3 linked regions of the Stegostoma tigrinum genome follow. The protein of the gene in region 3 purifies or fractionates together with the protein of the main gene of each other region. This does not show direct contact. Links are inferred from orthologs where the notes say so. Each region holds a gene or a part of one and is shown on either strand. Other genes may lie near its edges.

Region 1 (3,749 bases), on a different chromosome or scaffold from region 3:
CCCAAATCTGTTGGTGCTTCAGTTTTCCAAAGCCTTTCCCCATTTAGAAAACAGTCTGTGCCTCTATTCTTCCGACCAAAGTACATAACCTTGTACTTTCCCACACTGTACCCCATCTGCCACTTCTTGGCCCACTCCCCCAGTCTGTCAATGTCCTTCTGCAGCCCCCCACCCTTCCCCAACACCACCTGTCCCTGTGCCTGTCGTATGTAACACAAATGGGAACGATCTCAGCAATTAGTCCCTCTGCCCCACAGCAGGTCCCAGAACACTACAACTCAATTCCTCAGATAAAACATTCTCTTTGTCTACCACCCCAGACCTCTCCCCCTACCCCCTACCCCCACTCCCCACCCCCCCCACCCTCGGGTTCACCTCTTGAATCTGTATGTCCCTCTGGTGTTGCCAGTTGATGGGCTCGGTAGTCTAATACTAGACGGGAGGATGTGATTGGAGGTAATACTCACCCGCTCCCTGAGCTTCCTCGTTTGCTTTACTCTCCAAGTAGGAGACCTGAACTGGACAAGCAAAGACAGGGAACAGGTATTAGTGCGTAACTGGGGTAGACCGACCGCTCAGGAACTCAATCCTTCAGCCCACAGCCTCCCTACCTCGGACTACAGTTTGACCACAGCCCTTCGGGATGTTGGTCGCCAGGGCCAGCTCCACCAGATTCACCTCACGATCCTCGACGACAAACAGCTCTCCCTCCTTCACCGAGCGAAAAGGGAGCACATCCGGGGCCCCGTAACCACACACAGGCTGGAAACACAAGCAGTAAGTTACAGGCTGCACCAGCAATAATAGACTCCACTTACAGCCAGAAGGCACGGCTTCAGGCCCCTGCACAGCATCTCAGCCGCCGAGTCCACCACATTGCTCCACGTGATTGCTGCAGTTTGACCTGATCTCACTGAAGGGGAGACGAAGAATTGATTCGATTCATACACCAGGGACTCAAAAGCTCATAACACAGGCTGACGTGACCAGGGTCAGTGTCGAGGGAGTGCCGCGCTGTCGGAGGGTCAGTGTCGAGGGAGTGCCGCGCTGTCGGAGGGTCAGTGTCGAGGGAGTGCCGCGCTGTCGGAGGGTCAGTGTCGAGGGAGTGCCGCGCTGTCGGAGGGTCAGTGCTGAGGGAGGGGGCACTGTCGGAGGGTCAGTGCTGAGGGAGCGGGCACTGTCGGAGGGTCAGTGCTGAGGGAGGGGGCACTGTAAGCCTTGCTACACGTGAATCCGTCCTCGCCCACCTGCCGTCCCTCTCACCTACCTCCACATTCGCCCACCGCAGTGCCCTGTTAAAGTCCTCCACGGTGAGGCGCCGGCGCTTGGCGTGCCTCATGAACTGGGTGCCGTTCTGAAAGAGCCAACAGCAGGGTTCTGATGAGAGGAGGCTGGTTCACACCCCCCCCATCCCCCCCCCAACAAGCCCTGCCCCCAGGACCGAGTGGTCTCTGCAGACTGGTCACTGCAGACCTCTCCCCGCTCAGCGAGCCCCCCCACCCCGCCCTCTTACCTGGGCGGTCTCTCGCAGTCGGTAAGACACATCCTCCGCCAGCAGAGCGCTGACCTCGTCGCCCAGCTCCAGCCCCACGCTCTCCCCCATCAGTCTGACCGACTCCCGGCTCAGCTCCACGTATCTCCTCTCGTCACGCTCAGACATCGCAGCCTCCCACCGGCTGACACTGTCCCTCTCCGCCTCCACTAACCAGCAGCACACCCTGTCTCTCACTTGGTAACCAGGCCCTTACTAACCAGCATCTCACAAGTTGTAGATCCCTCACTAACTACTAACATAACCCGTCTGTGGCAAGGTGCCTCCTCGTAAAAACCAGCAACACTCCAACTAGTTACCAGTCCTCTTACTGACTCATCAGAATCACCCCAGCACTAACCGGATAATCTCTCATTAACTTCCAGAGATGCTGGCTTCCTCCTTGGCTGGATATCCCCTTTGTAACCAATGATAACACCTTGTTAACCAGCAATAACCAGTGGCAGCACCTCACTAACTTCATTAACTAGTGATAACACCTCATTAACCAGCACTAACTAGTGGCAGCACCTCACTAACTTCATTAACTAGTGATAACACCTCATTAACCAGCACTAACCAGTGGCAGCACGTCACTAACTTCATTAACTAATGATAACACCTCATTAACCAGTGGCAGCACGTCACTAACTAGACATCCCTTCATTAACCAAGCACCAGCTCTGCATCTCCAGTGAAGAGGGAACTACTTCCGGGGTCATCCCACGGACCAATCAGCGTCCACTTGGCGAGTGGGCGGGGTACCAACGTCACATCCACGTGATCCAGAATTTTAAATGGGCCGCAACCCCCGACACTGGAGGTGGGCCCCACCTATGGCTTTAAAAGGCAGGCGGTACGGAAGGATCTGGAAGTTCTTCTGCAGGAGGACCCTTTTCCCACCAGTCAATAAAATCCTGGCTGTCCTGTGCTTCAGATTCCCATCTCGCCCCCATAGCTTTCCACTCCCCCTTTTCCGCAGCGATGGATTGATTCCAACACCATAGACACAGTAACACGATGAAGAACAGTCCCAACCCAACACATCCACCAGCTTCCTGCCCCTCTGGTGCTGCCTGGCCTGCTGTGTTCGTCCAGCTCCACACTGTGTTCCCTCTGGTGCTGCCTGGCCTGCTGTGTTCGTCCAGCTCCACACTGTGTTCCCTCTGATGCTGCCTGGCCTGCTGTGTTCCTCCAGCTCCACACTGTGTTCCCTCTGATGCTGCCTGGCCTGCTGTGTTCCTCCAGCTCCACACTGTGTTCCCTCCATTGCCTGCCTGGCCTGCTGTGTTCCTCCAGCCCACACTGTGTTCCCTCTGATGCTGCCTGGCCTGCTGTGTTCCTCCAGCTCCACACGGTGTTCCCTCCATTGCCTGCCTGGCCTGCTGTGTTCCTCCAGCTCCACACTGTGTTCCCTCTGATGCTGCCTGGCCTGCTGTGTTCCTCCAGCTCCACACTGTGTTCCCTCTGATGCTGCCTGGCCTGCTATGTTCCTCCAGCTCCACACTGTGTTCCCTCTGATGCTGCCTGGCCTGCTGTGTTCCTCCAGCTCCACACTGTGTTCCCTCTGATGCTGCCTGGCCTGCTGTGTTCCTCCAGCTCCACACTGTGTTCCCTCTGATGCTGCCTGGCCTGCTGTGTTCCTCCAGCTCCACACTGTGTTCCCTCTGATGCTGTCTGGCCTGCTGTGTTCCTCCACCTCCACACTGTGTTCCCTCTGATGCTGCCTGGCCTGCTGTGTTCCTCCAGCTCCACACTGTGTTCCCTCTGATGCTGCCTGGCCTGCTGTGTTCCTCCAGCTCCACACTGTGTTGACATTGACTCCAGCATCTGCAGGTCTTGCCATCTCTGACTGTCAACACATCTAGTTTCTCCGTCCCTCTCCCTTCCCAAAATCCAGCAAACTTTGGGAAATGACCACCAACACTTCTACTGTGTCATTAGTCACCTCTTTGGGCTGGCCCGGTGGCTCAGTGGTTAGCACTGCAGCCTCACAGCGCCAGGGGCCCGGGTTCGATTCCCGCCTCGGGTAACTGTCTGGTGGAGTTTGCACATTCTCCCCGTGTCTGCGTGGGTTTGCTCTCGCAGTCCAGGGATGTGCAGGCCAGGTGGATTGGCCATGCTAAATTGCCCATAGTGTTCAGGGGTGTGTGGGATGCTGCAAGGGGCGGTGTGGACTTGTTTGGCCGAAGGGCCTGTTTCCACACTGTAGGGAATC
Region 2 (3,749 bases), on a different chromosome or scaffold from region 3:
AAGGACTTCTGTGAAGTGATTTGTACAAATTAGAACCTCTGATGCAACATCGCCATCCATGTTTCTAAAAAAGAGAATTCCCACAAATCAGTTGTGCAGAGACTCAAAATGCAACAACTGCCTAAGTTTTGCACATCTTTCAGACCTTTTTTGGACTGTTCATTTGACAATCATTTGCTTTTGTTTTCAAGAGTTAGTGGGGCCTGCCACTAACTTACATGGGGCAGGTTTTACAAAATGCAACCACCCTCAATCAGAATCACAAGCAGGCCATAAGATTTGCTGAAGTTCCTTAGTGAATCCAAGAAGTACAGTTATCCAATATTATATTCCCTCGTCCTACTCCAATAGTCTTTTAGCTATCTGCCAGAATCAGGGCTTGCCAAGAGGCCTGAACAGTCTGTAGATTAGCATGTTCAGTAGATGAACGTTGGGACAGTTGGTTGATTTAGGGCCAGGAAAACAAGAGGACGTGACCCCAAAAAAGGTAGCAGCCAGATGCAACCACCATTTTTTTTCAGATAGATCTTTTGACGGCATTCTTGTTCAATGGCACAACTGTCTTTGACAAGGCTCAATTAACATGCTTGCTTACTTTAGCTCATCTTGAAAAAAGTTTGTTACAATTTGTCAAATTCCACGGTTTGAAAACCATGTATTCCTGTCCACAGCTGACTGCCTTTGCACACTACACTGAAAGTCATCTGGACTTTCTTTGATTAAAAAGAAACGCTGCATTTCTTGGGACATAGTGGCATTGAAAACAAAAAGTATTTTCCTCCAGATGAAAATAAACGAGCAGTGTCAAGAAGCGTCCCGAGCAATCCAACCACTCTCCGTTAAGAAATTCAATATCCTCTTCTTTAAGACTTTGTCGAGGTAGCTGGGCAGGCGGCTCTTGGAAGGGATGCCCTGCCTCTTCTGCAGATAGTCCTTGATGATGATGGTCTTGACGGTCAGGTACCGTGTGGGGCTGAGGTTGAGGGAGCTGCACAGCAGTTTCTCCCGCTCGGACAGCAGGTCGAAGCCGGCCAGGTTCTCCATGGAGTTGAACTCCGCTGTGGCGCCGGCGGCAGCAGCCTCTTTGCCGGCCTCGTCCTTGCCGCGCTTGGCGGCAGCGCTGTTGCGCAGCTCCTTGCGCTTCTCCCGCTTGTGGCGGGCCGCCTCGTACTCGGCCGACTCCTCGGTCTTGGCGATGCCGTTGCGCCGGTAGCGCTGCAGCTCGCGGATCTTGGCCCGCAGCGCTCGCTCCTTGTGCAGGTTGTCGAAGCAGTCGTCGAACTCCTTGGCGGACAGGAACTGGCAGATGGGCCGCAGCTTGGCCCGCAGCTCCTTCTCCTCCTTGGTCACCTTGCGCTTGAGCGGCCGATCCTTTCGCTCCTTGCCCAGGAAGGCGGGCACCAGGCTGTAGTCGCGGGCCATGTTCTTTCGGCGCTGTCGCTCCCGCAGCTTGCGCACGTACATGTCAACGTGGGCCCGCTTCAGTTCGATATCCACGTCCTCGTCGTCGTAGTTGACGGCCAGGCCGCTGATGAGGGTCTCGGCGTCCTGTAGGTACTCGATCTCGTAGTCGTCCCTCAGCGGCATGTAACCGAGCTGCTGCTGCTCGACCACCGTGATATCGAGCGGCGGCAGAGGAGCCGTTAAACTGGGCGACAAGGGGCCGCCGCCCGGGCATGTGTGGTCAGTCACGCGGTTCGGGATGGAATCCGGGATGCACGCTCTACCTAGGTTGCCATGGATATACATGCTGACGTAGTGTTCCATCACTTCCGCCGGGGCACGCGCGCCAACATGCGCGGCCATGTCCTCCCAGTTGCCGAAGCCGTACTGCTCGATGGCATCGAGCAGCAGCTGCTCCTCCCGGCTCGTCCAGCCCCCCTCCGCCTCGGCTCCCCATAGCGTGAACCGCCCGCCGTCCACCAGCTGGTAGCCGTGCCAGCGCCGATGCTGCCCGATCTCGGCGCCAGCCGAGAAGCACTCGGGGCAGAGCTCGATGTCCTGGCACTCGGTGCAGCGGAGCCGCAGGCTCGTCACATCAGCCAGGCAGTAGACGCAGTACTTCTTACCCAGCTCCGCCATTGTGCGACGAGCCTGCGCGCTCGGTGTGGGTGCGCGCTCTCGCCCGCCGGCCGGCTTCCACGACTCTCGCTAACTGTTGGAGCATGCGCCAGAGAGCGCCGCCTGAAGGCGTTGGGAAAGGGAGCAACGGGGAAGGATATCCAATTAATGGACTTTGCCACTGTGCACAGGATAAGAAAGGACTCTTGTTTCATCAAAACTCACAGGTGTTGAGATAGTCATTGAATGACCCTGTATGGACTTACACAAGTTAAACTTTTGCTTATAAAATTCCTACATATGAAAGCCAGTTGTGCGCAAGTTTGTAGAGCACATTAGGCCCCCAACTTTTTGGAAGAATTAACCAATTGTTGTCACTTGTATACTCCCCCCTCCAATTAGCTTGTTACCTTTGCTGTTTCAGGTAACCTTTTGAAAATTAGCAGGGAACTTAAGTTGAAGGCAGTGACCATAACATGATAGAAGTCATCCTGCAGTTTGAGAAGGGAAGTTTGCTTTTGAATAATTATAACTACAGAAACATGAGAGAGACAGCCAGACTTGATTGGAAAGGGAGGCTAGCAGGGAACATAGTGGAGCAACAGTGGCAGGGGTTTCTGGGATGAATTGGGTGGCAAGCAGAAATTCATCCCAAGGAAGAAGAAACATACTAATGGGAGGATGAGGCAACGGTGGATGACAAGGGAAATTTGGGACAGTCTAAGAGAAAAAGCATACAATATGGTGAAGATTAGTGGGAAGCCTTTTAAAAACTAGCAGAGGACAACTAAAAAGGCCATAAGTGGGGAGGAAATGAAACATGAGAGTAAGCTAGCTAGTAATATAAAAGAAGATTGCAATGAAAGGTTAAAAAGAGAGGCAGGAGTGGATGTTGAACTAGTGGAAAATAACATTGGGGAAGTGGTAATGGGAAACAAAAATGGTGGAGGAACTGAATATGTATATTGCATCAGTCTTCACAGTGGAAGACATCAGCTGCATTCCAGAACTTTAAGATGGTCAAAAGGCAGAGTTGAATGCAATGGTTATCACTAAGGGGAATGTGCTCGGATAGCTGAAAGGTCTGAAGGTAGAGAAATAACTCAGACCAGATGGACTACACCTTGGAGTTCTGAAAGAGGTAGCTGAGGAGCTTGCGCAGGCAGTGATGTTGAACTTTCAGGAATCTCTGTAGTTAGGGAAGGTCACAGAGGATTGGACAACGGCTAATGTAACACACCTATTTAAGAAGAGTTAAAGCAGAAGAGTGGAAAATATAGGCCAGTTAGCCTGACATTGTATGTTAGTAAGATTTTGAGTCCCATTATTAGGAATGAGAATGTGGAATACTTGAATATGCATGATAGGCTGAGTCAGCATTGCTTTCAAGGGGAGGTCATCCCTGACAAATGTGATCTATTTGAATTTCCAAAAGACTTTCGACAAGGTGCTGAGGAAGAAGCTGCTAAATAAGATAAGAGCTTGTGGTGTTAGGGGCTAAGCACCAGCATAGAGGATTGGCTAACTGGCAGGAGACAGAGTGCAGATAGTCTTTTTCAGGATGGCAACTGGTGACTAGTAGAGTACCGCAGAGATCAATGTTGGAGCCAAAACTATTCACATTATACATTAATGACCTAGATGAAGCAAATGAGGGTATTGTTGCTAAGTTTACAGATGACACAATG
Region 3 (3,749 bases):
GCCTTCCAGTCCCAACAACATCCTGGTAAATCTTTTCTGAATCCCCTCCAATTTAATAATATGTATGGTGACCAGAACGGCATATAGCACTTCAGAAGAGACCTCACCAATATCCTGTACAACCTCAACAGGACATCCCAAGCCCTGTACTCAAATGGTCTGAACAATGAAGACAGGCATACTAAACACCTTCATTACCTCCCTGTCTACCTGTGACAAATTTCAAATCCCCATGTCTCTGTTCTACAAAACACTCCCCATGGCCCTATCATTATTAGTGCAACTCCTGCCCTTGCTTGTTTTACCAAAATGTAATAGCTCACATTTATACAAATCAAACTATCTGCCAATCCTCACCCCATTAACCCAAGTGATAAAGATCTCTTTGGAATCTTAGACAACCTTCTTCGTTGTCCACTATACCACCAATTTTGAATATCTGCAAGCTTACTGGCAAAGTCTAAATGTTTATCCAAATCATTTATATCAATAGCAAAAGTGGACCCGGCACCAATCCCTCTAGAACACTAAGTAACAGGCCTCCAGTCTGAGAAACAACCTTGTATGACTACCCTGTCTCCTTCCACCAAGCTAATTTCGTATCCAATTGGCAAGCTCACCCTGAATCCCATGTGACCTAACCTCACTAATTAATCTACCATGTGGAACCTGTCAAAGGCTTTACTGAAGTCTATGTAAACAACATCTATTATTCTTTTGATTACATCCTCAAATGAGGTCAAAAATCAAGTCTGAAAGATATGATTTTCCTTGGACTAAACCGTGCCATCTATCCATAATCAGTCCATGCCTCTCCAAATGCATGTAAATCTTAAAATTACAGCATGTAGACAAACAAGAAAATAACCTTGCTTGTATACCTTTGTGGTGTGGCAAACTCACTCTTGGAAAGAGATCATCCTGCATATAGATTATCTCCCCTTCCTATTCCTTGCCAGAAATGAGCAGTATCTTTATATTGAAGAAATCCAATAGTGCAGGCACCCCTTACTTTAATCACATAATGCAGATTCTGTTTTTCGATAACATCTCCTGTTAACATCTCACACACTGGTACAACCTGGCCAGATCGTACTGCAGACTACACTGTTAAGGTGAGGCAAACTGATCATAAGGTGATTCCTACAATACTAGGATTCTAGAGCACCACAGTAGATAATAACATTCTTTACAACACTACTACTGCCAGTTTGCCCTATTAAAAAGGGACAGTATTTGCACAACAGTTTATTACATCTATCAAGGGCACAAAATGCCAGTATTAATGGACTTCCTCAACATGGGAACACATCTTTCGCTTACTGACATGAACATGCCAAAAACAGGAACATTTGCCATTTTAAAAGGACACAGTGTATTCCTGAGAAGCTTAATGCCACTTTCCCTCATCATATCAGAACAAAGCAAATCAACCCACAGAGCTCCTGCACAAAATTTGTCTCAAAAGCAAATGCTGAAAAAACCAAACTCAGCAGGCCTACCAGCATTTGTGGAGACAGAAGTAAAGTTAACATTTCAAGTCCAATAAAACTCAAATTTGTATTATTACACTGGGTATCTGTCAGTTGTCTGACCACAACGGTGCTGAGAACCATTAATTAAGTCCCTGATCTTGCTGGACATATTTAGCATGACCTGTCTCAAAAAAAAACAAAATAAGGGAGGCCACAAGCCCCACCTAGACACCCTTTTATAAAGGGCCATACTTAAAAGACACTAGTTTTACGACTACTGCAGGGAACAATCACCCTGCACACAAAAAGAAAACTTTCTGGCATCTGTCCCAAACTGACCTTTATCAGTTTCTAGCCTTGTCATGAACCAATTTCAAATAGTGCTAAGGATTAACCATCTAAATTTAAGTATCATTAGGTATCACTGTCGCATTCATCATCTTTCTCTTTTTTTCCTAGCTTCTCCTCATAACTGAGTCCTCTGAAATGATTCAACCTTTTTTTTTACTGTCAGAGAGACTCCACCTGCATCTTTGCCCATCACTGTTCATGCGACGACTCCACCTCTGTCCCTCCCCTTACAACTGTGCCCCTCACGGTCCCAGTGAGAGCCTCCCTTGTACAGTAGCTCTTATCCATTACTGTAGCAGTGTCAGTGACTCTTCACCACCTCAAACGAGAGAGGTCCGTCTTGCGAGGCTGCCTTTGCTGGAGAGTCCCCTATCCGTGGCGAGCCCGGCCCTTACCTTCCTTTTCCTGCTCTCCGCAGTCCCACTCCACACAAAGCACTGGTAAATTACTCGCAGGCTCTGCTTCCAATTGTCCGCCTTAAAACTGTTCACATGGGAGCACCCGGCCGGACTCATGACAGGAGCCGCACCACAAGCACTGCCGCCAACGCGCAATCTCGGGCCGCAAGCTGTCCCCGCAACGCCTCCTCCTCCGCCGCTTTCCACCCCCAAAGCGCCGCCCGCCGCCGTCGCGGCTCCGATTATTTATATGAAGAAAAGCCCATAGTGTCGGCAAAGGATGATGGTCGTCAGGCGGCAGCGCTCCGGGAGGAGGAAAGCAAACTCGCCGAAACTGCAGGAAGTCCCACCTACCCCTGCAGAGTCATTGGTCAAGATGCCGGGCCCTTTACACAACCTGTCCTCCGATTGGTTAGCGTTACTATCCATCACTGCGCGGGACCGGAGGTTTTTCTCGCCTTGCGGAGGGAGGGTAGCAGAGACAACGCACTGGCGGATGTCCCGCCCACATGCTGTGCTCCGATTGGATAACATCCGGCCCTTGTTTCCTGCTCCATTTCTAATTGGTTGTTGTGCTGTCTATCGGCTGACGGTACCGGTATAGAGGACGGGCGTTTGAGCGATTTGAATGGCGTGAATGCGCTGCTTCCGGTTCCTGCTGCTAAGGCTTCCTGTTACTGGCTGGCTGAGGTTTTAGGGCCTCCTCATTTGTTAGGTTTTTCTCCTTACGTTCTATTGAAAGTACATATGGTTGCCTAAATGTCGCTGTTATGTGAATTGTTGACTTCATTTGTGTAATGGAATCTCCCGCCGGCGCCACCGATTTTTGTCTTGTTCGCCCATGGGTGCCTTCCTGACTCCACCCTGTAGGCCTTGGTTTAGCTGAGCACCTTGCCACCTCCGTCCTATCTCATCTCTTAAAGACTTTCAAAATAACTTGGCCAGTTGGTTGTTCTGCTGGTGGAGAGATTAATCTATGTGTCCCGGCACCTTTTTTAGCTGTTTTTTAATTTCTCTTATTTGCACTTTTCCGGGCGTCCGTATTTTCATAATTTTAAGCGTTTTCTTTAAAGTCCGAGCGAATTGCAAAGGGCAACTGTGTAATGTTTTTCTGAATCCAACGTGGTATCTAGCATTTTGTGTAGTTAATCTAGTTGGGCACCGCAAATTCCCACATTCAGCTTTGTGATAGAGATAAATTAATTGCTTTGAATAGTGGAGTGGAATCTTTTATTCTTCAGAGGGCAAATGAGAGAAGTCTTAAAAATGAGTTCCAATTGTACATCTACTCTTATCAGTATACTGGGAGTGTATGCCTCCTTGGTACTGGTTAAGGTTGCATTTTGTGTTTTTTTTTGGGTATGGCCGGGTGGAATCAGCAATCATTCTGCCCCCTTTGTTTAGGGATTGTGTTCAAATCCCTAGAAAATGTCTTCAACTCAGTATCCTCTGACCCAAGGACAAATGTGTTACTAACCAAGCCATAAATTACCTTGTGGTTTTAGCCTATTTTTTTAATAAGCCT

What was found.
Region 1: the proteins of usp22 (region 3) and taf6l purify together in Homo sapiens (affinity purification with mass spectrometry; 3 studies listed by BioGRID and IntAct, with this or other methods). This does not show direct contact. The link is inferred for Stegostoma tigrinum from reciprocal best matches to the Homo sapiens genes USP22 and TAF6L.
Region 2: the proteins of usp22 (region 3) and tada2b purify together in Homo sapiens (affinity purification with mass spectrometry; 4 studies listed by BioGRID and IntAct, with this or other methods). This does not show direct contact. The link is inferred for Stegostoma tigrinum from reciprocal best matches to the Homo sapiens genes USP22 and TADA2B.

The regions. Positions count from the first base shown.
Region 1 is NC_081395.1:3,303,457-3,307,205, reverse strand, and holds the start of taf6l (TAF6-like RNA polymerase II p300/CBP-associated factor-associated factor 65 kDa subunit 6L), read right to left. Parts: upstream 2,280-3,749; 5' UTR 1,661-2,279; coding exon 1,514-1,660; intron 1,355-1,513; coding exon 1,268-1,354; intron 763-1,267; coding exon 612-762; intron 519-611; coding exon 468-518; intron 1-467. UniProt on the Homo sapiens protein: Functions as a component of the PCAF complex. The PCAF complex is capable of efficiently acetylating histones in a nucleosomal context. The PCAF complex could be considered as the human version of the yeast SAGA complex.
Region 2 is NC_081354.1:56,828,545-56,832,293, forward strand, and holds the start of tada2b (transcriptional adapter 2-beta), read right to left. Parts: upstream 2,138-3,749; 5' UTR 2,083-2,137; coding exon 805-2,082; 3' UTR 1-804. UniProt on the Homo sapiens protein: Coactivates PAX5-dependent transcription together with either SMARCA4 or GCN5L2.
Region 3 is NC_081376.1:20,209,410-20,213,158, reverse strand, and holds the start of usp22 (ubiquitin carboxyl-terminal hydrolase 22), read right to left. Parts: upstream 2,527-3,749; 5' UTR 2,342-2,526; coding exon 2,222-2,341; intron 1-2,221. UniProt on the Homo sapiens protein: Deubiquitinase that plays a role in several cellular processes including transcriptional regulation, cell cycle progression or innate immunity.